Linked DNA regions of Cricetulus griseus. The protein of the gene in region 1 purifies or fractionates together with the protein of each later gene. This does not show direct contact. Links are inferred from orthologs where the notes say so. Each region holds a gene or a part of one and is shown in the gene's direction. Other genes may lie near its edges. The genes, in order: Raf1, Tcp1, Bag2, Calu, Dicer1, Pin1 and Timm50.

Evidence for each region.
Region 2: the proteins of Raf1 (region 1) and Tcp1 purify together in Homo sapiens (affinity purification with mass spectrometry; 3 studies listed by BioGRID and IntAct, with this or other methods). This does not show direct contact. The link is inferred for Cricetulus griseus from reciprocal best matches to the Homo sapiens genes RAF1 and TCP1.
Region 3: the proteins of Raf1 (region 1) and Bag2 purify together in Homo sapiens (co-immunoprecipitation; 3 studies listed by BioGRID and IntAct, with this or other methods). This does not show direct contact. The link is inferred for Cricetulus griseus from reciprocal best matches to the Homo sapiens genes RAF1 and BAG2.
Region 4: the proteins of Raf1 (region 1) and Calu purify together in Homo sapiens (affinity purification with mass spectrometry; 3 studies listed by BioGRID and IntAct, with this or other methods). This does not show direct contact. The link is inferred for Cricetulus griseus from reciprocal best matches to the Homo sapiens genes RAF1 and CALU.
Region 5: the proteins of Raf1 (region 1) and Dicer1 purify together in Homo sapiens (affinity purification with mass spectrometry; 3 studies listed by BioGRID and IntAct, with this or other methods). This does not show direct contact. The link is inferred for Cricetulus griseus from reciprocal best matches to the Homo sapiens genes RAF1 and DICER1.
Region 6: the proteins of Raf1 (region 1) and Pin1 purify together in Homo sapiens (co-immunoprecipitation; 3 studies listed by BioGRID and IntAct, with this or other methods). This does not show direct contact. The link is inferred for Cricetulus griseus from reciprocal best matches to the Homo sapiens genes RAF1 and PIN1.
Region 7: the proteins of Raf1 (region 1) and Timm50 purify together in Homo sapiens (affinity purification with mass spectrometry; 4 studies listed by BioGRID and IntAct, with this or other methods). This does not show direct contact. The link is inferred for Cricetulus griseus from reciprocal best matches to the Homo sapiens genes RAF1 and TIMM50.

Annotation. Positions count from the first base shown.
Region 1 is NC_048601.1:29,206,800-29,210,533, forward strand, and holds part of Raf1 (RAF proto-oncogene serine/threonine-protein kinase), read left to right. Parts: intron 1-480; coding exon 481-593; intron 594-2,528; coding exon 2,529-2,631; intron 2,632-2,934; coding exon 2,935-3,092; intron 3,093-3,734. UniProt on the Homo sapiens protein: Serine/threonine-protein kinase that acts as a regulatory link between the membrane-associated Ras GTPases and the MAPK/ERK cascade, and this critical regulatory link functions as a switch determining cell fate decisions including proliferation, differentiation, apoptosis, survival and oncogenic transformation.
Region 2 is NC_048595.1:288,143,803-288,148,054, reverse strand, and holds the start of Tcp1 (T-complex protein 1 subunit alpha), read left to right. Parts: upstream 1-1,350; 5' UTR 1,351-1,438; coding exon 1,439-1,502; intron 1,503-2,802; coding exon 2,803-2,888; intron 2,889-2,970; coding exon 2,971-3,099; intron 3,100-3,803; coding exon 3,804-3,901; intron 3,902-4,041; exon of another isoform or gene 4,042-4,179; intron 4,180-4,252. Other genes in the region: Mrpl18 (39S ribosomal protein L18, mitochondrial), read right to left, coding at 102-288, 563-614. UniProt on the Homo sapiens protein: Component of the chaperonin-containing T-complex (TRiC), a molecular chaperone complex that assists the folding of actin, tubulin and other proteins upon ATP hydrolysis.
Region 3 is NW_023276807.1:14,227,182-14,231,440, forward strand, and holds the start of Bag2 (BAG family molecular chaperone regulator 2), read left to right. Parts: upstream 1-1,380; 5' UTR 1,381-1,451; coding exon 1,452-1,564; intron 1,565-4,259. UniProt on the Homo sapiens protein: Co-chaperone for HSP70 and HSC70 chaperone proteins. Acts as a nucleotide-exchange factor (NEF) promoting the release of ADP from the HSP70 and HSC70 proteins thereby triggering client/substrate protein release.
Region 4 is NW_023276806.1:198,472,158-198,476,601, reverse strand, and holds the start of Calu (calumenin), read left to right. Parts: upstream 1-1,635; 5' UTR 1,636-1,769; intron 1,770-4,444. UniProt on the Homo sapiens protein: Involved in regulation of vitamin K-dependent carboxylation of multiple N-terminal glutamate residues. Seems to inhibit gamma-carboxylase GGCX. Binds 7 calcium ions with a low affinity.
Region 5 is NC_048598.1:190,294,703-190,298,927, forward strand, and holds the start of Dicer1 (endoribonuclease Dicer), read left to right. Parts: upstream 1-1,194; 5' UTR 1,195-1,235; coding exon 1,236-1,379; intron 1,380-1,988; coding exon 1,989-2,151; intron 2,152-2,968; coding exon 2,969-3,099; intron 3,100-3,939; coding exon 3,940-4,074; intron 4,075-4,225. UniProt on the Homo sapiens protein: Double-stranded RNA (dsRNA) endoribonuclease playing a central role in short dsRNA-mediated post-transcriptional gene silencing.
Region 6 is NC_048597.1:133,541,805-133,545,538, forward strand, and holds the end of Pin1 (peptidyl-prolyl cis-trans isomerase NIMA-interacting 1), read left to right. Parts: intron 1-2,228; coding exon 2,229-2,339; intron 2,340-3,117; coding exon 3,118-3,227; 3' UTR 3,228-3,653; downstream 3,654-3,734. UniProt on the Homo sapiens protein: Peptidyl-prolyl cis/trans isomerase (PPIase) that binds to and isomerizes specific phosphorylated Ser/Thr-Pro (pSer/Thr-Pro) motifs.
Region 7 is NC_048602.1:7,569,872-7,574,276, forward strand, and holds the start of Timm50 (mitochondrial import inner membrane translocase subunit TIM50), read left to right. Parts: upstream 1-1,585; coding exon 1,586-1,939; intron 1,940-2,773; coding exon 2,774-2,924; intron 2,925-3,687; coding exon 3,688-3,719; intron 3,720-3,920; coding exon 3,921-3,942; intron 3,943-4,405. UniProt on the Homo sapiens protein: Essential component of the TIM23 complex, a complex that mediates the translocation of transit peptide-containing proteins across the mitochondrial inner membrane. Has some phosphatase activity in vitro; however such activity may not be relevant in vivo.

The DNA of each region.
Region 1 (3,734 bases):
AGAGGCCAGAGAATGGATAACTTCTGGAAGTCTGTATTCCACAATATTGGTCCCAGGAATGGAGCTTATGTTGTCAGGCTTGGCAACAAGTATCTTTCCCTGCTGGGTCATCTCACTGGTCCCCGATTACCAACTCTGTTGTTAATAGCAACACATACATGGTTCCAAATCATACAATATAAGAAAAATGTATTGGTTTCACCACTTTTAAATAGTCTTACTCTTGTATTGTTCTAATAAAAGTATTTTCCTCTAGTTACCATGTCATAGACTACTGTCCCAGGCAATACAGGAGATGCACAATGTGCCCCATGCTGATGTGACGATCTGTGTTCATTTGCTTGCATTTACTGCTAGATACCATTGCAAACAGTATGTCATAAATCTATACTAGTTTACAGATGGATGTGTTTAATTCAGTGCACATCTTTGCAAGGGACGCTGTAGCTTGCGTTGGTACTAAAGCTTATCTTTTTGCAGGTCAATGTGCGGAATGGAATGAGCTTGCACGACTGCCTTATGAAAGCTCTCAAGGTGAGGGGTCTGCAGCCAGAGTGTTGTGCAGTGTTCAGACTTCTCCAGGAACACAAAGGGTAAGAGTGTACCTTTTCGAATAGTAAGGATTTCCTAGCCTCAAATAACTTGTGAACAATGCTTTCTTTTTGATTCCTAGGGATTAGTATATGTGTATACTTTTGTTTTTAAAGGATCAATTCAGAAAAATTTGCTTACTGAGAATTTGAAATTATTGCCTGGACATTGTTTTGAAAACTACACTGCATAGGAGATGCTCATAGTGTGTTCAGGGATGGAAGTGGAATTGTTAAAAGGCATGTTTTTGAGTGCAAAGAATGTTCCTGGTGTTTGTCATAAGAGTGGGTACTCTGAAAATGTCTGCATTGCTTTTTATAGTTAAGCTCATTAAGAGTGCTTGCTGCTTTTGCAGAGAACTCAGGTTCAATTCCCAGCACTCCGGTGGTTCACAACAGATTGTAGACCAGCTCCAGAGGATCTGATGCCCTCTTCTGGTCTCCAAGGGCACCCTCACATATGCGTTGCACATATATGCACTCAGAGATACACAAATAACATAAAAATACATAAATAATAAATTTACATAAATTAATAATAATAAATTTTTCTTTTTAAAGAACACTGTCTTTGGCCCGAAGAAATACCCTATTCAGTATAGTGCTTGCCTTGCCTTCTAATTGCCAGAACTGACATAAAACTCTGGCTATGGTGGTGCACCTGGAGGCAGAGGCAGGCAGGTCATTGAAGCGTTCTGACCAGTTTAACCTAATCAGTGAGCTCCAGTAAGAGAAGTTGTCTAAAAAAAAACAAGGTAGATGGAACTTGAAGGATAACATTTTCAAGTTCCCACTCATTGCAGCCCTAAAGAGAAGGTCTTGTCATTCATGCTCTGTCAGACAAACCTGGGGAAACCTTTGACTTTGCCCTCTCTGGGGAGCAGTGCACCTGCCACTAACCTGCTGCATGTTCTCTTTGTGGCTCTGAGTTCCCTGGCTGGAGAGAACCTGTCTCTTCCTCTGCTAACACGCCATCCCCTTTATCTGGCTTTATCCCCATGTTGGTGCCCAAGCTGATCCATAGACTTCCTTTATGACTTGGGAGATTCTGAGACAGGCTTGGTCCACTCTTCTCCAAAGTTGTGTGATTAGGAACTGATCTCAGTTTCCTTCAGAACAGACAGCTCCTACTTGTGTTCAAACAGCGGGGCTTCCTTCCTAGTCCTCATTAAGACAAAGCAGTACTCTAGACAGATACCATTCTCCCTTTCTTGCAGAGGGAATTGTCTTAAGGAATGGATTATTGCCTGCTGGGTAACCAGAAGAGTGGTTTGTTGGCCTCTGGCAGGGGATAGAGGGTTTTGACTGATGTTGTGTGTGTTACATTCCTTCTTAACTGGGAATGTTCATTCTCCACAAATGGGACAGATTAACTGAACTTAACAGCTTTTCCATAAATCAATGTGATGTCCTGTCTTGCTTGTTCTGGGCACAAAAGCACTGCTGTCAGTCAATTTTAAAGACCATTTTTGTCTCCCATAGACGTTTTATAACTTCTACAAACAACTTTGAGTCAGTAACTAATGGAAAGGACATCCCTGTTTGAGTCATGTTTATGGACATTTAGATTGAAGTAGCTGTTGAGCACTAAACGAGCCTTGTAGTGACTGCACCTTACTTTATGGGATCTTGGGATTTTGGTAGGATTTTAATGTTACACAGTCCCCTTAAAGACATAGTTACCCTTGTCATGAGATTGTTTTATTTCATTGTTCAAAGGAAACTTTGTTCTAGGAGTATAAACTTTGGAGTCCAACAGACTTGGATTCCAACAGACCTTGTTACTCTGTGGGCAATGACTCTTCAGGGCCCCAGTTGGCTTATTTCTAGGGTGGGACTGGAGCATCTGTTAGGTGTGCTCAGACAGCCTGCAGTAGAAGCTCTATGTGCTGAGCTTCCGACATTGTTCCCTCATATTATGTTTTGGGTAATTTTTAGTAAGAAAGCACGCTTAGACTGGAACACCGACGCTGCCTCTCTGATTGGAGAAGAACTGCAAGTGGATTTCTTGGATCATGTTCCACTCACAACTCACAACTTTGTAAGTTTCAGTGCCTGGCTTTCTCTGCCATTTTGGGCTCTTTTCTGTGCATGGTTGACCTTTCTGAGAAGTACTAGACTTGTGTATTGTTAGCTGCTTTCAGTTCTCCCTATGCAGTCATGGACAGTGGTCAGTTTAGAGTCCATTAACAGAGGTCCCTCTAGAGGCCTTCCGTTTCTGAATTTGACAGTGTTGGAAGTATGATTCTTCACTGTGGGAAACTCTTATGGGGCCAGTGGAGAAAGCACCTTGTTGGTTCTTCTCTTGCATTATTGTAATTTTATACCTGCTTTCTTGTTACAGGCTCGGAAAACGTTCCTGAAGCTTGCATTCTGTGACATCTGTCAAAAGTTCCTGCTAAATGGATTTCGGTGTCAGACTTGTGGCTACAAGTTTCATGAGCACTGTAGCACCAAAGTACCTACTATGTGTGTGGACTGGAGTAATATCAGACAGCTCTTGTAAGGCATTTGGTTTTATTCCTGTAAAAATTCAGGATCAGGGGCAGAAACACTTTAGATGATGTTCATTATACATTTTTAATTGTTAAGTCTTGAGTTTTAGCTTTGTTAAATAATTACTGTGAATCAGAAACTAACTACTTTAGAAGCACAATAGTTCTAAAATTAGCTAATTTTAGTATGGCGGCCTAACTAAAATAAACAGGCAGGGAACTGGGAGATGACTCACTGAAGTGCTTACTTTAAGCATGAGGGTTGTGTTTGATCACTGACATAAAAGCTGGGCCTGTGCCACATGCCTGTAATCTCATTCGTGACAATGGGGACAGGGCTGTCCCTGGGCTTGCTGGCCAGTTAGTCTAGCTAAGTTGATACCAGAAACGGGTAGGACCCATTGTCTATCAAATAGTTGCTGACACTGGTTTGTCAAGGAAAAGAAATGGGACATGGAAATCCAAGGGCTTTTTCTTTCCTTAACTGGGTTGCAAGTGGTCAATGCTGCATGTTGTTCTGAGAAAGCAGAAAGTAGAGCTTGTGCTGTTTCCATCCCCTCATCCTGGAGAGCAACATGTTTGGGCCTCAGACAGTTTGGTTAGATTAAACCAGGTACCAAGATACATTTCACAGAGAGAAAATAGTGTA
Region 2 (4,252 bases), on another chromosome or scaffold:
GAGGGAACAATACATAATCTCTTATTCTCAAATTAACTTTAAAGTTTTCTTCCCAATTTAACCTTGGGCTTATCTGGCAGGGTCAGTCACAAATTAATTACCTGTGCCAGAACTCACGGTTGGGCCACACTGTAGCCCAGCCCCGTTCTTTCCTGGCTACCCCTAAGAGCTCCAGATTCCGAGGGTTCCGGTTGGTGAACACTGGGGCCACAGCTTCGTTTTCCTTAGTCTCCACTTCGGGCTGAATCGCTGGCGAGGAACTGGTCGAGCGGGCTGCGAACCCACACTCTAGGAAATGAAAACGACCACGTGGATGTTTAAAACGACTAATACGGGCGCCAGAGGGGCGTGCTCTAACCATTCCCATCACAAGGCCCAGAAGCGGGTAGAAATGGCCGTCTGACCAAGGTTATCACCACCGACCCATAACGTCCCACGGTCACCCCGGGAGCGGCTAGTGCGTTCGCTTCCGCAAGCGGAACCTCGGGTGCAAAATTGGATTTGCAAATTCCCATATACTGTGCACAGCGAGCAGGCAACGACGCGGGGCGAGATTAATTACCCAGCTTCCCGCAAACTGACAGCCATTTCCAGACCCGCGGCTGAAGCGCCATCGCCGATGGGACGTAGGCAAAGCCTCCCAGTACCCGGCCTTGCTTTGCTCACGGTCGTCAGGGAGAACGACTAGCGGCAGCCATGTTAACTGGGGGAAAAGCTACAGATGCCAGCAGGTCGTCGGTCACTCCGGGACCCGGAACAACAAGCTCCCTTGTACTGAGTGGCCGAATAAGCGATCGGTATCTCCGCTTCGCCAACCACCGCTGACGTCGAGGCGGGGGGCGGGGCACGCTCGCGTAGCTCTTTTCTCGGAAGTCCGTCCCTGCGGCATGCGTGACCCCAGGCAGTGGTCGCCCAGCTGCAGACCCCAAACCTCGCTGAGCCTGGACGGAGTCTCAGCTGACTCTCCGAATGCTCCCTGACTCCTAACTATGACCGGAGCTCAGAGATGAAAGGCGCGCGAGCTCCCAGCCGTACCTGGGAGCTAGGGTCCGTAGCCCGCCTCCCACCACAACCCTATCAGCTTCTCTAGAAGGCGCGAGAACGCACGAGCGCCGCCCCACTCCTCCCGCGGCCCAACTTCGGTTCCTCACTTCCGCGCCTTTCTCGTCCAGCCTCTAATTGGATAAATAAATTGTAGACCCACCCCCCCTCCAGTTCCGGCGTCTTCAGTCTCGCCCATCCTCTTTTTCCCAGCGGGCCTAGCGGTTAGCGGAGCTTGGAAAGCGGGCGGGGCTTGGTACCCAGCATCCCGTGCGGCGTCGCTCGGGCCTCTCTCTCCACGCCGTCCGCGTTCCCCGCTGTGGTGGCCGCAGTCCGGCCTCTGAGCGGATATCCCGGCCGTCCGCGGTGTTAGCGAGGCCAGCCAGGTTCCCTAACGATGGAGGGCCCTTTGTCCGTGTTCGGGGACCGCAGCACTGGAGAGGCGATCCGCTCCCAGAATGGTAAGGGCGCGAGAATCCTGCGCCAGGCCCGCGGCCCAGGCCGAGGCCCGACTGCGGTCGCTAGGCCGGGGCTTCCCCCTCGGCACAGCGAAGTCCCCGTGGAGGCCCGGGCCCAGTGCGGACCTCACCCGCGGGCCCAGCCGGCGCCATGGCGCCCTTCGGCCCTGGGAAGAACGTTGGAGCACGGCACGCGAAAGCCCGTTTTGGGAGGTGCCCAGGGTGGGTGTGGGCGTCCACGCCCCGAGTGGGGACTGCGCTACCCCGGAAGGCTAGCTCCAGACCTGATCGCCCGCCACGCCTCAACGGTCCCTTTGTCCTGGTTCTAACCGGGTTGGAACATCCCGGACACGACCAGAGAGGAGTAGTTTCCACCCGTTCCATTTGCCCAGGAGAACATGCCCACAGAATGTAGGTGGTCGTCTTTGCGTGGCTTCCCTCCGGCCGGTTGTCTTTCAGTTGATAGCTGCTCCCAGGAATACTTAACGGTTTGCAAATTGAACGATAGGCGAAATAACACGTGTTTGCTGGTAGTTGAACCTGTTTTTTTTTTTTTAAAGCACTTAACGTTTTCCGATCGTGATTGTGCTTTTTTGTTGTTGTTAAGGTGCCCCCTCCCCCCGAAATACAGTTACTACCGAGATGGACTACTATTCTTATTAAAACATGCTAGAGTCTGAAGAAAAGGCTGAGATGTTAACCCTGAAATTTTTCTTGCTGGCTGGAGAGATAGCTCACCAGTAAAAACACTGGCTGCTCTTCCAGAAGACCCGAGTTCAATTCCCAGCACCCACAGAGCCCCTCACAACTGTCTGTTAACTGTATTTCCAGGAGATCTGACACCTTTACACCAATGCACATAAGGGATTACTTATTTTTTGAGGCATTGACCTCTTTGTGACATTCCAGTACTCAAAAAAGTTAACCTAGCCCGGCCATGGTGGCACACACCTTTAATCCCAGCACTCACTTGGGAGGCAGAGGCAGGTGGGTCTCTGAGTTCGAGGCCAACCTGGGCTACAGACCTAGTTCCAGGATAGTCATGGCTGTTAAACAGAGAAACCCTGTTCTGAAAAGAAAAAAAAAATAGTTAACCTTCACTAGTCCTTTTTTTGGTTTTTCAAGACAGGGTTTCTCGGTATTGCTTTGGAGTCACTAGTCCTTAAATAGGTGTGTTTTTATTTTTTTAATTCCCCAAAAATCGTAATTATTGCAGATTGGTAGGTTTAAGAAAATCATAGTTGGCTTGGTGTCTCTTAGCTTGTGAATTGTTCTAATTTTTCGCCCATTGTTCTATCTTCAGTTATGGCTGCAGCTTCCATTGCCAACATTGTGAAAAGTTCTCTGGGGCCAGTTGGCTTGGATAAAATGTTGGTGGATGACATTGGTGTAAGTATATCTCACTGTTCTTGGTGGCCTTGCCTCGTGGAGCTTGGTTTCTGTGTTGACCCACTTCCTTCATATTTCTCAGGATGTAACCATTACCAACGATGGGGCCACCATCCTGAAGTTACTGGAGGTAGAACACCCTGCAGCTAAAGTTCTTTGTGAGCTGGCTGACTTGCAAGACAAAGAAGTGGGAGATGGAACTACCTCTGTGGTGAGGCACTACCTGGGAGTGGCTAGAGAATAAGCCCGTTTATTAGAGTTGAACCCATGAAAGAATCCTTTACTCTAGATATGTCAGGTGTTTATGGTCTCATAAACATTTGAAAACTAATCATTGCACCTACTTTGTGCAGTTTGAGTAGGAGAAAAATCATATAAGGTAGTTGAATATAAGCTTATTTTAAATACTGGGAATTTGGATGCTTATTTTCAACCCCCTTGCCATGATAATGTTTACATGTAGAAAAGAGTTTCTCATTTAAAGAAAATGTTACCAGGTTTCGGCTTCTTTGTTGTTCAAAACTAATGGATAGTTTTGGATTTTAACCATAGACAGGAAATTTGGGAATTCAGAGTAGAAATTTCTGGTGTTTGTAGCTTGGACCATTTGCACAGACTACTTTGTGGTGTTCTCCATTTTATGTTTTCAGCAAGCTGCTACTTGTCTGCTGTGGCTGGTTAGTAATGCTAGGTCATAGCTGGACATTGTGGTGCATGCCTTTAATTCCAGCAGTTGGGAGACAGTGGAAGGTGGATCTCTGAGTTTCAGGATAGCCAGGGCTACACAAGGAAACCCTGTCTTGAACAAATAAGTAAATAAGATAAAAATAACAATATTAGATAATTTTGATGTTTTCCTGTATGCATTGTGCATATTGAATGACATGAAAACTTAAAGCAGTGTTTAATCAACAGGTAATTATTGCAGCGGAGCTTCTGAAAAATGCAGATGAACTAGTCAAACAGAAAATTCATCCAACATCAGTTATTAGTGGCTATCGGCTTGCCTGCAAGTAAGATTATATTGAAAGAAAATGTTATTTCCTGTAATGGTTGTAGTCTGTCTTAATGTTGTGATTAATCATTAGTTGGCAATGTTCTGTCTTAGCATTTGGGTGGTAGTATTGAAATATTCAGCCCAGTGTACCTCTGTTTTCCCAGTTGACTACCACGTTTTCTCCCAGTAGATTATAGTGGCTATGCTTATGGGATAGATGAAAGGTGCCATGATCTGAAGGGGGAGGGCTTTTCAGTGTCTTCCCCCCTATATGAAATGGCTGAACATAAAACCATCGCCCGATATTTCACAGCGTGTTGGATGTGGTGAAACGCAAAACCTCTGAGTGATGTTTTTATATTTTTCT
Region 3 (4,259 bases), on another chromosome or scaffold:
ACCAAGGCAACTTATAAATCATTTAAGCCCCGCGGTGGTGGCACTTGCCTTTGATCCCAGTACTCAGGAGGCAGAGGCAGGCAGATCTCTGTGAGTTCCAGACCAGCCTGGTCTACAGAGGGAGTTCCAGGACAGGTTCCAAAGCTACAGAAAAACCCTGTCTCAAAAAACAAAGCAAAACATCATTTAATTGGGCTCAGCTACAGAGGGTCAGAGTCACGATGGCATCAAGGACAGGTTCTGAGCACTCATCTGGAACCCAAGGAGGAGGCAGAGACACACTGGGAATGGCTAGTCTTCTGCAACATGCCCAGAGTGACATACTTCCTCCAGCAAGACCACACATAATCGTTCCCAAACAGCCAACTGAGGACCAGATGCCAGAGAGCATAAGACACTGAATCCATGACATCTGCCTTGTTTAGTTGCTAACCTAGGACAAAGGCAGATGCTATACCACCGAGCTACGTCTACAGCCCCTTATACTTTTTGAGATTTTTAGCTCTTGGCAAAGCAACCCCGCCTGGCCTTTGAACTCACTCTGGCCCGAGAGACACAATCCTTTATCAACATCCAGATGAGCTGGCATTAGACCTGAGATGAGCGCAAGCTTCGATTTTTCAAGACATTCACAAAACGTTCAAATTTCACATTTGTGTCATGAAATGACAATGTTTAATGAAGCCAGATAACCTACTGTTCCTTATTATGTAAAATGAGTTGGGGATGGGGCGGGTGGTGATGGTGGTGGAGGACCTGGAAGCCAGCTGTGCTTAAGGGACTTGACTCTGTTAAGTCATCAAATGGCTTTGAGTTCTGATTCAAGGTTGTAAATCCAAGTTTCTCATTTTCTGTGCACCGAGAGGACAAAACACAACTCTAACCAGACATGGCTTTGTATTTCAACCCTACTCCACCTCTTAGTGACCTCTGCAGGAGCCTATTGAATATTATTCACGGAGGATTTCAATAAGTTGGGTGTGAAAGTAATAACCTTTCATTAGAAAGGCGAGACAGTATAAATGCACTTGGCTTTTCCTTATTTGGAGCACAGTGTTGCCCAGGCTCTCCCTGTCCTCTTAGGAGCCTGCCTGGTAACCCGGCAGGTCGGGCAAGTAGAGACTGCCCCTAAGGCGCACTCAATTGTCTTAACGCTACACCAGGGGATCTTTTCTCCCACGTCACGGGCCGCACGATTTTGTCCCTGCTGTGAATTGTGGGTGTTGGGACAAACATCAGAAGCCATCGGCGAGCCGGCAGCCCGGTGGGAGGCTGGCGACGGGCACCGGGACAGGGTCCCCCACCCGAGTGCTGGCGGCTGCGCCCGCGCCTGCCCTTGTTTGGCCGCGCGGCCTCGGGGGCGGTGCCGTCCGCGTCAGCGGCGCCCGCGGTGACGGCGACGTGCGGCCCGCGCCACTGCTGCCCGCGGACGCCCCGGACCCCCGGAGCTCATGGCCCAGGCGAAGATCAGCGCCAAGGCCCACGAGGGTCGCTTCTGTCGCTCCTCGTCCATGGCAGACCGCTCCAGTCGCCTGCTGGAGAGCCTGGACCAGCTGGAGCTCAGGTGAGGGCGGGCGGGCGGGTGAGCGTGCAGGCGGGGGCGCCTCGGGTGGGCTCCACTCCCCGGGCGAGCGCGCGCGGCCTGCCCAACTTCCAGAACCTTGTGTGTGGTCCCCGCTGCCTCTAACTTCCACGTTTCCAGTAATGCTCTTTGGAGGGAGGCAGCAGCTTAGTGGGGTCTCTCCCTCCCACCTTCCCATTGTAGTAAGTTTCTTTGCCCCAAACCACTTCATAGTAACACAAGAGTAAGGAAAATTCCAGACTGCACCTCCCGCGACCAGCGAGAATTAGACCCACGAGTGGCCGTTGTGGGTGGCAAAGTTGGATGCGTTCTTTCATTTTCTTAACCACGTGCAATGCCCTCCGCATTCGGTCTGTATCTGTTGTGCATTTAGAAGATACTGATGACACCTAGGAAGTGCCAGCCACAGGCCTGAAAAGGTACGAGTCACACTCTGCCTGAGATTCTATCGCAGGATCGGTGTTGTAGTAAAATTTCTAAATAGTAAATACTAGCAAATGCTGTAAATACTTTGTTGCCTACAGCAATTTGAGATCTTACCTATCTGGTTAATGTCTCCGAAGTTGTGCAAGTCTTGATTGTGTGCAGGTGTTGTTCCATGAAAATCTTATCAAGGCACCCTGGGTCTTCTGGAACTGCGAACATTTTGTTCCCTAGTTTTCTCCAGGTTCTGCATAAGCAAAAGAATATGAGCAAAATCATAAGAGTCTTGTGTGCCTAATCTCCTTCCATTCGTCCACCAAACAAACAAACGGGAGGATGTTTGCACAGAAAACTACCACAAGCAGCATTGTTACAAATGAGGCATTTGTTATTATTACTATTAGGAGCAGAGATCCAGACGGTGAGAAATTTTTTTCACAATTTCCTGAGTAGCCACAAGAGAAGCCTTAACCATACAGTCCCCAGCCCGGAGTGAGACAAAGGGACCTCAGCTTTCAAGCCCTTCTGAGGAGAGGGAATGCTTCCCTCTACAAAGTAGGCACTGAACTTGGACAGTATATTCTCAACTGCTCAGATTTTTTTCTCCTTGAAAGGGTTTAGGAAGTTGTTACTCTTCTTTAGCTGAGTCACTGTCCTGAAACCTGAATTAATGCCTCCCTAGTGCTGGGTAGGGGGGTGGAGGGGGTTCCTGAAAGCCTTGGGTTTGGTGTTGCAGTCTAATGTTTGGTTAATGTAAAAGGAATTCTGACTGTTGCACATATGTGATTAATTGATACTTTAACTATTTGCTGAGAGGGAGAGTTTAATGTGTGTTTAATGGCTCAAGGCATGGGGCTCCTTTTTAGAAGCCACTTTGACACAGGGCACTGCACTATTAAAAATTTAGACTTTTAGCTGGGCAGTGGTGGCACACACCTCTAATCCCAGCACTCGGGAGGTAGAAGCAGGTGGATATCTGTGAATTTGAGGCCAGCCTGGTCTACACAGTGAGTTCCAGGACTGGCTTCATAGTTACTGAGAAACCCTGTCTTAAAAAAAAACAAAATAAAACAAAACAAAATTTTTAAATATGGATGATAGAGGAAAGATGAAGCTTGTGTGATTTCCCGATACTAGCTTCCTTGTATACAAATATTAGCAAGGCTGTGGATTTGGTGCTGTAAAACCCTGGTTTGTAGATAGTATGCATTTTCCAGTCAGTTGTGTGGATTCTATTGACAGTGGAAGTCACTTTTTCTTCTGAAACTGAAACCACATCAAAGGCTTTATATCCTGGAGGCTGAACTGACCTCTGGGATTGCCTAAAATGCTTTAAAATGTTCAGCCCTGTTTTACAAGCTGTTAGTGGATTGTCGTTCGTTTCTATTAGTTTATAATATTAACTACACTATCTGACATTAAAAAAAATATTTTCTACTACAGCTCCTCTAAAGAGGTAACCCTGTCCTTTCTTGATTTTTGCGACCAGTTCTATGGGATTCTGCGCCCTTCGTGGCTAGATGGCTTACTTATTACTTTTTAATGTTTATCCTAGTTTATAAATAATACATGTTAGCATCTATCTGCATGCTAGGCCTCATGCCTCTGTGGGAGTTACCATTATCTGTATTCTACAGATGAGAAATTGAAGCTCAGATATAAACGACATGCCTCAAGTTGCAGCCAAGAGCTGTGGACTCCACGTTTGAACACAGGAAGAGGGGCTGCTCAGATCAAACACCATGTGTCTTAGTGTTGAATATATCATTTTTCAAACTGTCCAGTTGGCATAAGAACGTGCTTTTACTAAAAGAAAAATCAATTTAGCATTTAATTGAGTAAATATTGAGCACCCAGTACGTGCCAAGTATTGAGTAGCTTCTAGAAGCTGTGGGTGATAAAGCAGCTGGGTCTCGGGGATTGGCAGAGGAGGAATGAATGATAGGTAGGACTGGGAGGTCGGCTGTCCGTACACTTCCCAAATGGTCCCATAGGGAGTAGTTCTTTCCAGTCCACCCAGGCAGGAAATGATGTTGTCGCCAGGGCCAAGGAAATGCACTGTCCGCTGCTTTGGTTTCTTACTGCTTAAGGTTCCTGTCAGGATGTCCCAGTGTCCCAGGACTCACAAAGCAAGTCGACACCATATTTAATTGGAGTAATAGTCTGTAATTTAAAAGAACACTTTTCATATACCTTGTAATTTGAAACTTCTATAACCCTTGAGGAGGAGGAAGCTGTTATTATCTCTTTCAGC
Region 4 (4,444 bases), on another chromosome or scaffold:
ACTATTTGGGGCCATATTTAGTTATCTTCATATCCATTTATTTAGGGGCTGTTTACTGCTCTCCTGTGTAATTGACCTAATAGCTTCATAAAGCAAATCCTGTGGACTGTGGAAACAGAGCACTAGTTTCTTTAGAATGTACTGTTTTAGCAGAGCACTGGCTTTCACAATTCAAGAACTAAGTGTGTCATCAGGTAATATCTGAGGGCTATAAGGAAGGTTTCCCCACTTTGCTGTAACCCATTCTCTGGTGAATAGTTTCTTTGTTCTGTAAGTATAAAAACTTCATCAAACTGTTGCTATACTGGTATTTGGAATTTGGGGTAACCTAATCTGGTCTCCTGGTCGTGGCCACTCACATTTGGCTCCAGAATAAACTCTCTTTGAGGTGACAGTTGTGTTCTGAGTTGATGGTTTAAGGGTCCCAAACAGGAGTTGTTAGCCTTTTCCCATCTTAAACTAATTTGCTTTCTTAAGTTTTTCATGAGCTTCATGCGCTACTCATTCTATATGTGATGAAAATATAGTAGCCCTCAATGAACATGCTTTAATTTCACGACACTGAGTAGGTTATGCTATAGATTAGTGGTAGACTAGAGTCCTGGGCAAAGTCTAGGTTCAAACTCTCCCTGTCCACTCCTTTCCCCCCCCCCGACCCCCCCCCAAAAAAAACCCCAGATTGCTAATTTCCTGCTCTTCTCTTCAATCAGGGGCCTGCGACGCAATGGATTTTTTTCTATTCAGTTCATTTAGTATTACTGAATGCATTGGGGACTGGTCTGTAAGCTGGGAGCTCCTGATATATAAGTTCAGCGGATCCTATTCCAGACACTTGGTCTAATCGCATACACAATGATAATCACCGTTTTGTTTTGTTTTGTTTTAGCAAAATCTGGCTGTGCACTGAAAATGCAAACTGCTAGGAAATGGACCAGGAAAGATGCCTAGAGCTAGCACCTGAGTAGGCCCTGGTAGTTTCACTACCTGCCCAGCTTCCACTAAGACATTTCAGGACAGCAACCTGTTTCATGAGTAGCGGCTTTCAGTAGCTGGAAAATCCAGAAAACATACTTCTTTCATGCAGATGAAGCCGCTTTGTGAGCAAAGACCACAAGGATATGAAATGTAAGGCTCTCAGGGAAGGCGCGGATCACGATGGACTGGGCAGAGGTGCGAAGGAGCGTGGTGGGTGGAGAACGAAGCCGAAAGGTACACGTTGGCAGGGCGGAGATCTGCTAGTACATCAACCGGGACCCTCAAGAGTCAGAAGCTGGGCTGGGTCCCCGCGGGTGGTGACGTTACTCGGGTATCAATCCGGCCCCGGGGGCTGGAGCTCAGGAAGAAAGCTACCACAACAATCCTGGAGGCCCTGGGAGGCCGAGTCGAGCGTCGTGAATGCGGACGTGGCGGTCCGGGGGCCGTGGTCAGCGGGCCGCGCCCACACGCCCAAGAGCAGAGAACTGGGGCTCGGCGTCCCCACAGGATGGGCGACCCGGACTGGGCGGGAATCCGGTCCACGCAACTCGGCGCGCTCGCGGGGACGTGGCGCTTTCAAGCCAATCACGGCCGCGCGACGGCGGGACCAATGGGCACGCGGAAGAGAGACGCATCAGCAGCGGTCTTGCTGGCGATTGGCGGAGAAGCCGCCGACGAGACGGATGGGGGCGGGGCAAGGAGCCACTTCCGGCTGGGAGGCGCTTGTACGCGGGAGCTGCTCCTCTGAGCGAGCTGCGGCCACGGTGTCCTGCGGCGTGGAGCTCCGGAGAAAGGTGAGCCCCGTGGTGCTCGGCGGGTCCCCGCGCACCCTTATTCTGCCCGTCGGCCTTGTCCCTCATGCGGGGCGGGTCTTCCTCATTCCGGCCTCGGTGTGCGCGGGTGGGCCCGAGACTGCTCTCGGTCTCCGTCCCGCAGACTTGGGCTCCAGGGCCCCGCGCCCTCCTGGCCACCGTTTTGTGTCTGGCTTCGTGCGTCCTTGTTCTCCGCCCCGGCTGCCTCCACTCACTGTCCCTGGGGCTAGAGGGTCACTTTTGTTTGTTTCCTGAAGGTCGGAGAGAATTGGGTAGAATTTCCATCAGCTCCCCGCCACCTTTCCCAGGCCTGCTGGGAGCCGCCACCCCGCCCCAAGGCCACATCCCATGAGTGGGTTGCAAGTGCCAAGAAAGAAAGCGCTTGCTGTCTTACAGGGTGTAGGAAGGTGGGGAACAAAACGAATGATAACGATGTCATTATTTGGGGGGAAAAAAGTCTCTTGTTAATTGGAAAGGGACGTCGCACTTTTCTGTTTTTTGGCTGAATATAGTCATTAATGGAAAGCAGTTTTCGCACGTTAATTAGAGTTAATTACCTTTAAATAATCATGTTTTTTGCTTGTCTTTTCCCAAGTGCTAGTTCTGATTTTGGGCATGCAGTATTCCGAAGTGAACATAATTCCCTATAGTTGCTGTAATTAACACTGATTTGTATCTTGTAAAGTTTCTTTTGCATGAGTGGGACAATTCCTTGGGTTGCTGCTACACCTTTTGTGTCTTCGATCCAAATTCCTAAGTGTAGAAAGCCCTGGAACAGGATTTTTTGAGAATTGTATTCACTTCCTATAATGGACTATCAAGTCAGCATTAATAAATTGGGAATAATGACACTCAGGTTTATTTAATTAAGCATGAATGGCTGATAAATTCTTTGCTATACCCGGAAGCCGACCCAAGACAAATTAAATCTAACCTCATTCAGTTAGATTTAAGTGTCAAGCGGTAGTCACCACTGAAGAACTTACCGAAGTCCAAAGGAGGGACCAGAGATAACCTGTAACTATTTGCATGAAAGGCAGTCTGTGTGGTCCTAATCTGAGTTTTGCAGTGTTTCAAGGGTCTGTAACAGGATATTCTGTAGAATCAAAAGTAGGAGTTATGATCTCATGAAAAAGCTGAATTATGTGTGAGTTAATGGTATTCATCTCAGTGTCATTCTCTGTCTCTGTTTGGTGCCATTCATCCAGTGATATGTTACATGTACCATTGATAGAGTTTTATGTCATTGCCTCAGTGCAGGAAACTAGTGTGTTAGTATTAGCCCAAATTTCTTGTAACATTGATGTGCTGGCTGTTTCAGGGATAGCCAGGAATAGTCATGGGAAATGCATGATTAAGATACTGGATTCTCTCTCTATGAATTTTTGTTTGTTTATGGGTTTGTTGTTTGTGTGTGAGAGAAAAGGTCTCACTACATAGCTGTGACTGGCCAGGACCTCACTGTGTAGACCAGGTTGTTCTAGAACTCATAGAGATCTGCCCATCTCTGCCTCCTGAATGCTGAGATGAAAAGAGTGCACCACCACCCCCAGCTTTTCTGTGAACTCCTAGATGTGAATGCCATTATGCTGTAACATGTATTGGGATTAAACAGTTGAAATAACACAAATTGTTTAAATTACATTTATTTATGGCAATGGGCATACACATGCCATGGGCATGCTTGTGGGAGTCTTGAGAGATGATGTGTGGGAATCCATTCTCACCTTCCACCGTGGGTTCTGGGGTCCAATTCAAGTTGTTGGGCTTGGTGGCAAGTGCATTTACTGGCTGAACCATCTTGCCAGCCCCTGAAATCACATATTTGCCTATACATGGCATTTGGCCAGATCCATTAATAGGAATTGGGAGTTGGAAAGCACAGCAAAACCATGTTGCTAAATGTCATCCAATTCATTCAATAAAATATATTGGTTTCTAAAAATACAACACTTTGTAAGGAGCTGTAGAGATAATTTTTTTAAAGAAGAAAATTGTTTTAAAGTTCCACAATCCAGAATAATTGTGGAATCTCTCAGAATTAATGTTTCTGAAGGGCTGAATTTAATATAGACATCTAAGCTGCCAGAAAGGATGGGTGAGGCTAGTGCTAAAAAGTTAGAATTTTCAATAAAATATTTTCTGAAACAGGGTACATGTATTAATTTATAGCACTTCTAAATGCAGAAATTGTTTTAAAGTTGCAGAATCTGGTGGGTGTGGTGGCAAATGCCTGGAACCCTAGCATTTGGAAAGCCCACGTGGCAGGATTGTCTCAACCTATCGGATATTTGGGCAGCATAGCAAATTTGGGGCCAGTGTGAGACACAGTGAGATCCTCTTAGCTCCCCCCCCCCAAAAAAAAAGGATGGAATTGAGGTGGCTCAGCCACTGAAAATGTTTGCTGCCGAGCTTGACAGCCTGAGTTTCATATCCAGTATATACATACATGGTGCAAGGCGAGAACCAATTTCCCAGAGTTTTCTGACCTCAGCCCTTATATGATCACATGCACACACACACACATGAATAAATGTTAAAAAGAAATAAAAAATAGAGCCATCCAGGAAACTGAAGAATAGCAGTATGGCTTGTGCTTGTTGTGGATTAATACAAACAAGAAGTGCAAACTTCTTCCAACTGGAGTTGGAGTTACC
Region 5 (4,225 bases), on another chromosome or scaffold:
TACATAGACTCCATTGGAGTCCCCTCTTCTGTTAATTTTCCACTCTAGACCTCCTGAGGCCATGAGGCCATGTGCAATTAGATCAGGATTCCACACACACGGCAGGAAGTGTAGGGGGAGCAGCTGGAATTCCAGGTAAGTATTCACTGACTCTCGTTGCCTGCTCCTCCTCTGAGGGAAAGCCATCACTCAGCAGGATCTGCTTTGGGGTTGTTTTAAACGTAGTCACAGCTGTCCTGGTGAGAATGGTGGCTGTTATGCTCAGAAGACAGTGCTCTGCAAGGCTGCCCCTGCTTCAAAAAATGAATGTGCTGGAGACGGACATCCAATTGTTGACCTGTGACCTCTACACTTGCACACACCAGCATACACATAAACATACATGTGTGTACGCACACAGAAAACTTTTAAAAGATCAATTTTTATTTTACCAGCTTACATAATGAAATTTACTTCTGGAAAAGAATGTATGAAAATGGGAGAGTGCTTAGATGTCATAGAAGAATTTCCATTTAGAAAATGTCATGTGTTTAGTTTATCAGGATATGTATAATTTTAAACATGTATGTCTAAGGATAGTTTTAGCTGTGTAGTTGCAGATTGCCAGTTAAGCAAAACACCCCTTTTACTAATGTGATTTAACCAGGTCGGGTGTTTGCACCTTTAGTGCCTGCGTGTATGCTGGCTCCTTATTTTGTCAGCATATTAGAGAACTTAGAGAGAGTATGTTTTTGTATGTTTGTACTTTACATGTAGGTATATGTTTAACAAGGCATCAGTAGACTTTGCTCTTTGCCAATAAATATAGACCCATGAGAATGTGAATAATTTTAAAGAATTCCTTTACATTATTTGACAATACCTTTAGATAGCTACAGTTACTATGGTTTTCTACTAGTTTTAAAGCTACTTCTTGTCTTCCAGTAATGTAACAATACAGACTGATGTGTTTATATTTGTACAGTTGTTTGGTTCATTCTTTAGAAAAGCTTCTAGGTATAATTGCCAGGTTGAGTATAGACTGCTTGACTTTTAAAACCATCCTCTTAGATCTCAAGAGAGACCAAACCAACCACAGAAAGAATTGAAAAGGCTCTCTGGAGCAGTAGTCTGATGTCATTCTTGTTCCTGTGCTTTCTTTTGTTTTAACCCTGCATGGTTGTGTAATGGTATTCTTTTTCCCTTTTGTAGTAAGCTGTGCTAGAACAAAATGCAATGAAAGAAACACTGGATGAATGAAAAGCCCTGCTTTGCAGCCCCTCAGCATGGCAGGCCTGCAGCTCATGACCCCTGCTTCCTCACCAATGGGTCCTTTCTTTGGACTGCCATGGCAACAAGAAGCAATTCATGATAACATTTATACGCCAAGAAAATACCAGGTACTAATGAAACCACTAATACTGGAGCATTTTTCACTAAAATAGAATAAATTACTATAGAATTGACACAACTTATAAAACTCATTTACTCTTTCAAGCCTCCCTCTTCTGATTAATTTTCTTATTTAAAACATTTTTTTTTTTGTTTTCTTTTCTGTTCTAACATCTGCTGGGTAATTGACTTGTGTTGGTTCTGTTTGTGAGTTCCTTATCCCCTCCCAAGTTCACTGTTCCTTTATATCCATTTGGCTGTATCAGTCCTAGTGAGCTGGGTAGGGATGGAGATTGGTTTGAAAGTATTCAGCCCTGAGCTGGTAGAAACATACCTAGTGGAGATTCAGTTATATGTAACTAACATGTGCAGAAATAATTCTTAAATAAATTTGTTAGTGCCATTTTAATATATGCTTACAGCAGCACAGCTGTGTATAACAGCCATTTCACTCCCCTGTTATTCTTGAGTAAATGTGAAGACAGTGGTTTTCTTTTTGTAAAGTTGTCTGCAGATTTAGATTTGAGAAAACAGGGAAATTTCTATGTTTAAAACAAAAGTCAATTCTTATATGTGGTGCTTCATTAAGAAGTGTGTGGTCTTTTCCCATATTTCAGGTTGAGCTGCTGGAAGCGGCTCTGGACCATAACACCATTGTCTGCTTGAACACCGGCTCAGGGAAGACGTTCATCGCGGTCCTGCTCACCAAAGAGCTGGCCCATCAGATCAGGGGCGACCTCAACCCACGTGCAAAAAGGACCGTGTTCCTCGTCAACTCTGGTAATCAAATATCATTTACCAGATGTGAGGAGAAAATTGGATGAGACTTTGTATTTATCTCTGTGGGTATTAAGTTAAATTATTGGAAGTAAAGAGTTTGGCAAACAATGAGCTTACTGAAGCCCTGCTAGCCAAAACACTATTTTATTCTCTGTAGCATCTTTCTCAATAGTTCAGACTCTGCATTTCTCCTAATGGGGTTTGCTCTGGGGAGATGGCTAGATTGTTAAAATTACTTTGATTCTTGGTTCACTCCATACAGCAGGTTGAAGGCTGACTAGAGATAGGAACCTACTTGATGGGCGATTTTAGCTGGAGCAGTTTTAGAAACTTATATGGGTCTTTAAAGCTACTGAGGAGACTTAGTGTCTGATGTCTTAAACCAATGTCTGTATGCTTGGAATTGTCGACATGAAAGTATAACCTGGGAATCCAGAATGACCTCCCCTTCTGTTTTTTTTAAGACAGTCTTAGCATAATTGTGTGATTTGAACATGACTTCTTGGTGGATTGACCTGATTTCAGTGAGGAGAGCAGAAGGGACAGGTGTCGAGTAGGTGTCCTTCTGGTTTGAAAAGGACTTAGATCTTTAGGATGGAGGAAGTCAACTGTGAAGGAGATATGAGGTTGTCTGGAGGAAGTGATGGAAGAGGAAGTGGCAGGCCTCATCCATGATTTTAGAGGGTGATCTTGGAACTATGATTTTTAAATTAGCCATTTAAAAAATTGGTGGCTAGGTATAACTGATAATTTTTGTAACTGTTCAGAAAGCTAACTGGGTACATTGTTCCTATTTGCATGTTTTCTTCGTGGCCAGCAAACCAGGTTGCTCAACAAGTTTCAGCTGTCAGAACTCACTCAGACCTCAAGGTTGGGGAGTACTCAAACCTAGAAGTAAATGCATCTTGGACAAAAGAGAGATGGAGCCAAGAGTTTACTAAGCACCAGGTGAGACCTGCAGGGACATTTCACTGTACAGACACTACAAGCCCGTTAGCCTTAGCTATGGAGGAAGCTAGAAAGGGACATTCTCCCAGTCCTTTCCATTCTCTCCCTGTAAGGTTCATCTGAAACCAGTATGAACAATACATTACTAATGTGTTTGCCTCCAGAGGGTAGAAAAGAGAGCAGCTGCCGTTATTTACTTGCTTGAAAAACACAAATACCTGTGACTTATTGAACTTGAAGAGAATGTATTTTGAAACTGGGAAAGTTCCTTGTTTGAGGTCCCTGGTCTTTGAGGGAGGCTCCCTCTGCCTTCATGTTTTCAGTAGATAGCATGTGCTAAGGGCTTCTTGTGTGTGGTACTGGGAGATACACAATGGTTGAGGGCTGCTTTGTAACTAACATCCAACAGCCTGCTAACCACTAGTAGTTCTCGAATATTAGAATGAACCTACTTAAATAAAGCCTTCCAGAACAATAGGCTGTATAAAGAGTATTTAATTTTTCAGAAAACCCTGTCAGCTCTGTAAATTCTTCTATGTTTTGACTAAGTTGACAGGTCTCATATTTCAATGGCTGGGGAAACCTGAAGTAGATTTAGTAACTTACCATAAGGACGTGGTCTCCCTTTCTAAGGCGTTTTTCTCATAATCTTTTCCCATACTATCACTGGTCATTGTTTACATCTTGGTTCCTATGTTTTACATATGTAAATTTCTTTGCTTTAATTTTGACCCGTGAATTTCATAATCTTCACTTCCATATACTGACACTCTGGTCTTTGGTAGAGATATAGCCAGGCAGGTTAATGGCATTTGTGTACTGATATCAGTTTTATTTTAGGTTCTCATTATGACTTGCTATGTCGCCTTGAATGTTTTGAAAAATGGTTACTTATCACTGTCAGACATTAACCTTTTGGTGTTTGATGAGTGTCATCTTGCAATTCTAGACCACCCTTACCGAGAAATTATGAAGGTAGGTTTTTAGACTTTATCAACTTCAGTAATTGATGGTCAAATTATTAAGTTATTGAGTAAATACAGTTTTAACATTTCAAAATGTTAATTTTATGTGGATAGGAGTTTGCCTGCATATGTGTCTATGTACCACATTTGTGCCTGGTATT
Region 6 (3,734 bases), on another chromosome or scaffold:
AAGAAACCTGAGGCCCAGCTAGTGTCATCACCGTGTCCTTGTCTGAGGCAGTCTGGCTGTGTGTGGGTAGGCCCTAGCTCCCTGTTCTGTTGCTTTGTTTCCACTTATCCAGGCCAGAATTTGGGGAGGTCCAGAATAAGAGTACATGCAGCACCCTCCCCAGGCTTCAAGGATCAGCTGTCTCCTCTGGTGGAGTGGTGCCCAGCCAGCCTGATGGCCTGTGGCTGGGTTTCTGGGCCCCTCCTGCTGGGTCTTGGGTCTTCTAGGATAGCATATCCAATGATGTTACTACCTCTTCCATAACCAGTCTCTTCCCTTATGGCCACCTGTGAACTGGGAGATGGGCAAGGGGATTGTCTAAACACTTTTAGGATGAGGAAACATCCTTTTGGTTCATTCTGTCCCTTAGTCGCTGTAACACAGTGCCACAAGCTCGGTAGCTTAGGTGACAGAAGTTTCTTTGAGTCCCAGTTCTGGAAAAGTCTATGCCCCATGCTTTTCCTCTAGATTCCCTCTCACCAGCCACCACAGACCTGTGCCTTTCTCACTTTCCCCATCAGGTTCCTGCTGAGATTGCTTTTCTTGTCTTCTGTTGTGTCCTTTGGTGCCCTGCCCCTTGGCTATCTTTGCTCGCCCCATCTGCCTCCTTTAATAATAGAACTTATGCTGCCCAGGCTGACCTTAAACTCCCTGTGTAGCCAAAGGTGACCTTGAACTTCTAACCTGTCCACCTAGCTCCTAAGTGCTGGGATTCTAGGTTTGCACTACCATCCCTAGTTTGGAAATTGATCCTAGGGCCTGGTGCAGAAAGGCGAGCACTCTGCCAGCTGAGCTAAAACTTTTTTATGAACAGGTACTTATCATTTCAGGGCCCATCCTTGTAGACTCCTTATCTCCAAGGACAGTCTTACCAGGAACCAGGGCTTCTTTACAGCGAACATTGGGACTTTATCATGCAGCCTTTAGCAGAGCAATGACTTGTGCATTAGCCTTGACTATGGCAGTCACTCATTCATGCCACAAATAACCCTCTGAAGTGAGAGCTCCCATTAACCAATTCAATTCTTTTTTCTTTTACTCTCATTTATTTGTATGCACGCAGGCATGCTACTGCAGGCATGCTCATCTCAGGCACTGCCTGGACTCAGGTGCCTGGCAACTCCCAATCTAGCAGGTGTCTGTGTGAGCATAGCAGTTTCCCATGCATCTGCATGTCTGTGCACCCTGCTCCTGAGACATTAGTCATACAGACCTGGTGCTGTGTTTCACTCCCCTGAGCCTAGGTCCTTTACATTCTGTTGTTTGTTTGTGTCATTTTGTTTGGGTAGGGTTTGGTGATTGGCATGTGTGTTTGAAGGTTAGAGGACAACTTACAGGAGTTGGTTCTCTCCTTCTACTGTTGTGGGTTCTGGGGATAGAACTCAGTCAGATTTTGTGACACATGACTTTGTTATTTTGAGACTTTGCTTCATTCATCATTCACTTTCCTCCCAGCAGCCCTGACCTCCTAACCCTGCAGGGAGTCACAGCCCAGTAGAGATGCTTTAATACCTCCTGAGCTCTGCCAATACCCTGTGGTACCTGTTGTGTGGCTTGCCTGTGGGACAACTGTGCAGGCGCTCACACACATCCCTTACAGCCTCACCTCAGGTTCTCATCAAAATGTCCTAGTGAGAGCTCTTCTGTGCCTCCATGTTGCACAGGTGGGGACTCCTGAGGCCCACAGCTGAGGATGTCACCAGCTCCTATGCAGAGCTTGGCTGTATGCTAGCCACCTGTGGTCTCCAGAGCCTTGAGACTGCCCCAGGACTAGGGGTGGGCAGTCATCTGCTGTGAGGTTCCAACTGTTTGTGTCCAGGGCTGAAAAGAGGTCACTGTGTGTCTGGAGGGGTCCTTATATTCTTGGGCATCTGTGGGTGACTAGCTTGGTTACTAAGGTCATACATAGTAGGGCCATAGGTGCATGGGGATGGCAGACAGGTTTGCACCCTGGGGTCATGCATGTGGGAGGACTGTCTTCATGTGCGCACATGATAAGGACACAGGTGTGATTGCTTAGGCATGAGGGGGTGGGAAGTCTTACAACAGAAAGGCAGCAGCATGTCTTTATAGGGAGCATGGTGCACAGGCCAGGCCTGGCCCAGCTCCTGGGAGTGCCTTGTTCTCCCTGCATCCTGGCTGGCCCCTGTGTCTCTCTGACTTAGGGCTCTCCCCTTGTGTCCCTGCAGGCTACATCCAGAAGATTAAGTCAGGAGAAGAAGACTTTGAATCTCTGGCCTCACAGTTCAGCGATTGCAGCTCTGCCAAAGCCAGGGGAGACCTGGGTGCCTTCAGCAGAGGTAGGCAAGAGTGGGTACCGCTACACTCAGCCCCTTCCCTATAGTGTTGGGGGTGGTTGGGCCCACGAAGGGGGAGAAACCCTACTCTGTGCCTTCCTAATCCACCAGGTGGCAGCACAGCCCTCAGGCTTCCTGGCCTGTGTTTTTTGTGCTGCTAAAGGGATGTAAAACCTCCCTGGTATCTTCCCTTCAGGATCATTGTCCCCCTCACCGGCCCATCAAGGTGACTCTGTTCTGTCATTGGCATCTAGCTATAGGACAAGACCCCTGAGAATCATGTTCTTCCCTTTGGCAGGTGGGGAAAATGGGCAGGCAAGGCAAGGTCAGGTCCAGTTGGTGACCCAGACAGAGCTCAGAATGTCTTCCAAGGGCAGAGGAAATCAGGATCCCTTCCTCCTCCCTTCTCTCCTTCATCTCCTTGTTGTGGGCTGGGAGTTCTAAGTGTTGGCACCTGCCTGGGAGAGGGAGCCTAGCGAGGCCCTCTGCTGGCAGCCCAAGCTACCTGCAGGACAGATGGTGTTCAGCTGGGAACCAAGAGAGTTCATCATGCAGTGTGTCTAAATGCACAGCACAGCACTGCCTGCCATTCCTCATGCTGTCCTTGGGCTTCCCAGAGCCTCCTAATGGGCCTGTGGCCCTCAGCTGGGCTACAGCTCAGCAGTGCAGGGTGACAGGGCCATAAACCCTGTGATGAATATGCTTGAGACTAGGTGCAGGCAGGAGCCCCATCTCTGTGCAACTCGCGCCTGACCCCCACCACCTCTGCTGTTTCACACAGGTCAGATGCAGAAACCGTTTGAGGATGCATCGTTTGCTCTACGGACAGGGGAGATGAGTGGGCCAGTGTTCACAGATTCGGGCATCCATATCATCCTGCGCACAGAATGAGGACAGGCAACTGGCCGGCCTACTCAGGCTGCCAAGCAGTCCATGGACGCCCCTTCCTGCTACTGTCACACAGTATTTATTATTCCTAAAATGGCTGGGAGGGGGCTCTGAGATAAGGACTCTGAGCTTCCTTTTCCCTGTTTGCCCCCAGTTGGGGCTGCCCTAGCCAGGCTCCTTCTGAAGGAATTAACTTCAGAAGGGCAGTGGGGGTGTGGAGGCCCTCAGGCTTAGTGGGTCAGAGGTGACCTGACCCCTCCCCCTAGGTCCCAGAGGCAGGCAGGAGGGCCTTGTTTCTTGTTAGTTTTATGCTCCATTCCTCTGTTCAGTTGCAAAAAGCAGACACTCCACACCTGGCGATGCAGCAACTCAGCCTCAGGGTGTGGTGCAGCGCCCCATGCGCCTTCCATTAAATCTGGAACCACTGGCTGGTGGTACTGTATCTCATTACCTTCCTGATGGGGTGTGGGGTTCCTGTCTCAGGGGAGGAACTGTCACCCATCACACCCC
Region 7 (4,405 bases), on another chromosome or scaffold:
TGCAGTCATGTTCCCAGCCCCCTCAGTGGTGGATTCTAAGCCAGCACTCTACCACTGGGCTGTCTCCAGCCCTGCAGTCTTATCTTGAACGCTGACAGCAGTGAACCCAGGATTGTTTCAGCAAGTCTGATAACTCAGGCGCAGGAATGAGCGCCCTAACAGAATTAGGCTTTGTACCTTGGTCTTTTCCATATTTGATAGGCCCAAGTCTTCACAAAGGGTAGGCATATGACTCAAATCACAGCACTTGGGACAGGGCAGGAGGATCAGTCTTCCTCGGGTGCATAGGTCAGCCTCAGCTACATGAGACCCTGTCTCAAAAAAAAAACAAAAAACCAAAAGCTGGTGAGATTGGTCTGTGGGTGAAGGCACTTGGACTCCTTTAATCCCAGCACTAGGGGAGTTAGGGGCAGGTGGATCTCTATGAGTTCTAGCCAGCCTGGTCTACATAGACCCTGTCTCGAAATAAAACTAATTTTAAAAATTCAGACATAACATGAAGTCCTATGTCCCCTGTACCCACTTACAGTATGTAAGGCCAACAGGAACTCACCGTGTCAAGGAAGTGTCCTAACCACTGACTTTGGAAACATGTCCTCCAAGTCAACCATAAGGGAGACAGCCTTGGTTCAAATGAGCCAGGTTTGATTTCCGGACCCCCAGGGTGGAAGGAGAGAGCCGTCCTCCACACCCTGTGGCACAAGGGCGCACACACTCAAACACACATGTAACTTAACAGAACCCCAATCTCTTTCTTCTTTTTTTGTTTTGTTTTTGAGACAGGGTTTCTCTCTGTAGCTTTGGAGCCTATCTTGGCACTGGCTCTGGAGACCAGGCTGGCCTCGAACTCACAGAGATCCGCCTGCCTCTGCCTCCCGAGTGCTGGGATTAAAGGCGTGCGCCACCAGTGCCCGGCCCCAATCCATTTCTTTCCACCCCAGAAATAACCATTTCTCTGAATTCCTTTACCCAACTTTGTATTTTTTTACTATCTTAGTACTTTTTTTTAAAAAAGATTAAATGTAGGGGCTGGAGAGATGGCTCAGCGGTTAAGGGCACTGCCTGCTCTTCCAGAGGTCCTGAGTTCAATTCCCAGCAACCACATGGTGGCTCACAACCATCCGTTATGAGATCTGGTGCCCTCTTCTGGCACGCACTGTATACATGATAAATAAATAAATAAATCTTAAAAAAAAAAGTTTCAATGTAAAAACCTGGCTTTTCCACCATTAAAAACAACTTGGGGGACATTCCTGGTGTCTTCCTGTACCCCAGATTCACTGATTTCTTATTCAGTCTTCAGTCAGCACGCACTGTTCCTATGGGTGAGTGAAGGAAGCCAAGTGAGTGATACGATCTCCAGCCCTTTCGAGAAACACATGGTAGAAGGGGTTAAAAAGTGATCTGGAGACGCGAGAGAAGACCGCTTCAGCGTGGGGGGAAAAAAGAAAAAAAAAAAAAAAAAAAGCGAGGGCTGCCGGTTGAGCTCGCTTTTTGAGCATCTGTCCATCTCTCACGCCTATGTCCCAGCGACTGGGCGGCGGCGGAGGTCCTTAGGGCAGGCACCAGGGGGGCGTGGTGACAGATGGCCCCATTCCAGTTCAGCGTGCTCCGCGGGCGCGGGGGCGAGGGCACTGACAGCCCCGGACTAGCGGTCCGCGGAGAGCGCAGCCGGGGAGGGGGACTCCGCCCACACCTTTTTGTCCCGCTCGCCTTCCCGTCCACACGCCGCACCTCAGCCTCCCCATTGGCCGCGGTCCCCGCCCGGGGGGCGGGAGCGAGCCGGCGAGTGGGCGGGGCCGCGCGGCGTCAGCGCAAGATGGCGGCGTCGGCGGCGTCGGCGGCGCTGCTCTCGCGCTTGCGGAGCGGGCTCCGGGTCGGCGCGCGGGGACTGTGCACGCGGCTAGCGCCGCCGCCTCCTCCCCGCGCCCCAGAGCAGGTGAGTCGGCCCCGGGGACCCCGCCCGACCCGGGGCTTCCCCCCCCCCCCCGTCAGGCTCGGGCCGTCCGGAACTCCGCGTCCCGGGCGCTCACCGTCCCCGAGCCCGCTTTCCCGGCGCCCCCGAGCCTCCCGGGAGCACCACGCCTGCCGCCCGCTCGCCCGCCCGCCCGCCGGGCTGGGGCGCGGCGGGCCCCCCGGTGCATCCTCCGGAGCCCGCGTCCCAGCCTCGTGGCTGCCGGGAGGTCACCCTCGCCTGATGCCGGCGCGGGAGCGGCCCGCCCGGGACGCCGGGGTCCCAGGCCGGCCGGGGGAGGGCGGGACGGGCGGCGTCCGCCTCGGGGGCGGCGAGCCGGGAAGGCTGGCCGGAGACAGCCGTCCTGAGCTCCAGGCGAGAGAGATCGCCTCGCCTCGCCCCGATCTCTTGGGTTTCCCACCCCTCCCTCTGCGGCCCGGGATGTCCGGGTGTCTTAACCGCTCCTCCCGTCCCTTGGGTGCCCTCCGGCTCCCTGGTTTTGCTCTCCCCGCCAGCCCTGACTCTCCCTGCCCTGCTCGCCCTGGCTCCAGACCCTGCTGCAGTCCTGTTGCTTTCAGGATCCCGGGCAGCCCCGCCTGTCAGCCCTCGAACCCCTGTGATCCTCCGGACACAGTTTTATAGTTTTGCCCCTCTGCGGGGACCAACTTTTCCACTCAGCCCTTCCAGGGACACGTTTTTCTGGGGCTCTGTGTATGTCCACGTCCCTCGATCTTGACTCTACTTGGACCGAGTTAGAGGTCAGAGAGAGCCTCCTGCTGTTTTCCTCTTAGCTGACCTCGCCTCCTCCCCTCCGCTCAGGTTGCTGAGATCGCCAGTCGTGGAGGCTCCAAGGCCCAGGGGCCGCAGCATCAGCCAGGCTCAGAAGGTCCCAGCTATGCCAAAAAAGTTGCACTCTGGCTTGCTGGTTTGCTTGGGGCCAGTGGGACTGTCAGCATCGTCTATATCTTTGGTGAGAGACATACCCCTGGCTTGCTGGCCCCCAGATTTCTACTGGGAAACCTCCCCTTCTTTCCTCAAACTGTTCATTCCCTGGCTCCTCCCTCAATAGGGCCTTCAACGGGGATACTCACCTTGAAACTCAACAAGTCCCCTTCTACCCCTTGTACTTAATTAAAGTTCTAGCCTCTAGTTGGTCCCTGTCCCTCCTGAAGTCAGGAACTAAGGGGACAATGGGAAGAATAGGGCTGGCCCAGTGTCTGAAGCTATGTCTTGTGTCTCCCTTCAGCAGCAAAAGCCTAACCTTCCCCTTGTGTGTAATCTCAGACTCGGACCACTTTCTCTCTCTCTCTCTCTCTCTCTCTCTCTCTCTCTCTCTCTCTCTCCCCCTCTCTTTCCTCTCTCTCTCTCTCTCTCTCTCTCTCTCTCTCTCTCTCTTTTTTCAGACAGGATTTCTCTGTGTAAATTTCTCTGTGTAACAGCCCTGGCTGTCCTGGGAACTCAGTTTGTAGACCAGGTCACAGAGATCTACCTGCTCTGCCTCCTGAGTGCTAGGATTAAAGGCATTCATCACCATGCCTGGCTAGCCCACCTTCTCTTAAATATATTGGAATCCTGCCCCTTCTCCCCCCATTCTCTTCCTCCCTTAATCCAGGAGCTGTGCCTCTAGCAACATCCCCTCTGACGGGGTTGTCCAAACCCCTCACTTCCTAACCCTTCCAGACCCAGCAGATTAGACTCCAAGTTTCTCTCATCCGTCTCTGTCTCCCTTGCAGGAAACAACTCGGTGGATGAAAATGGCACCAAGGTGAGGGGCGTTAGACCCAGAGGTGCTAGGGTGGGTTGCTTTTGGTTGGTTCAGGCTCCTTTCTAGTCTGAAATGAGCCCCTCCGCCCCTCCCTCCCTCCCTCCCTCCCTCCCCGGGACCTTTGCCTACTGAGCCTGGAGCTCCTTGAGTGGATGTCCTGGGACCCCTCTGCCAACCCAAACCTTTGCTTTTCTCTCTCAGATCCCTGATGAATTCGACAATGGTGAGTGATTTAACAGATTTGGGAGTCCCTGGTGTCCCCATCTCTGCTATTTTGTTTTGTTTGGAGTGCCAGTTCCTCTGTCCTGTACCCCAGCCCCTCCTCCTCCATGGAGGTTCAACAATTAGATGCTTGGGGGGGCGGGACATAACAAAAGCCCCTCAGCCTGGAGCAGATGGTCAGGAACAGATGGGGGCAGGGGGCCGCAGCAGTCCCTCCCAGATACCGGCTTCCCGGGCCTTAGATCTGGGCATCTGTGGCCCCTGAGTGTTTATGACAGCCTCTTTTTTGTTTGTTTAAAAATCCTTAAGTCCCTATCCCACCCCATGCCTCATTTCTAAAACAATGCCTCTCAGTGTCTGTGCCCTGCCCCTTCTCCAAACATACCCCAGGTTCAGCAGAGTTTGGTGAGGACTTCTGATAAACTAGGTAGTAGAGTAGCTGTGAATTTTAGCTGACCCTTCCT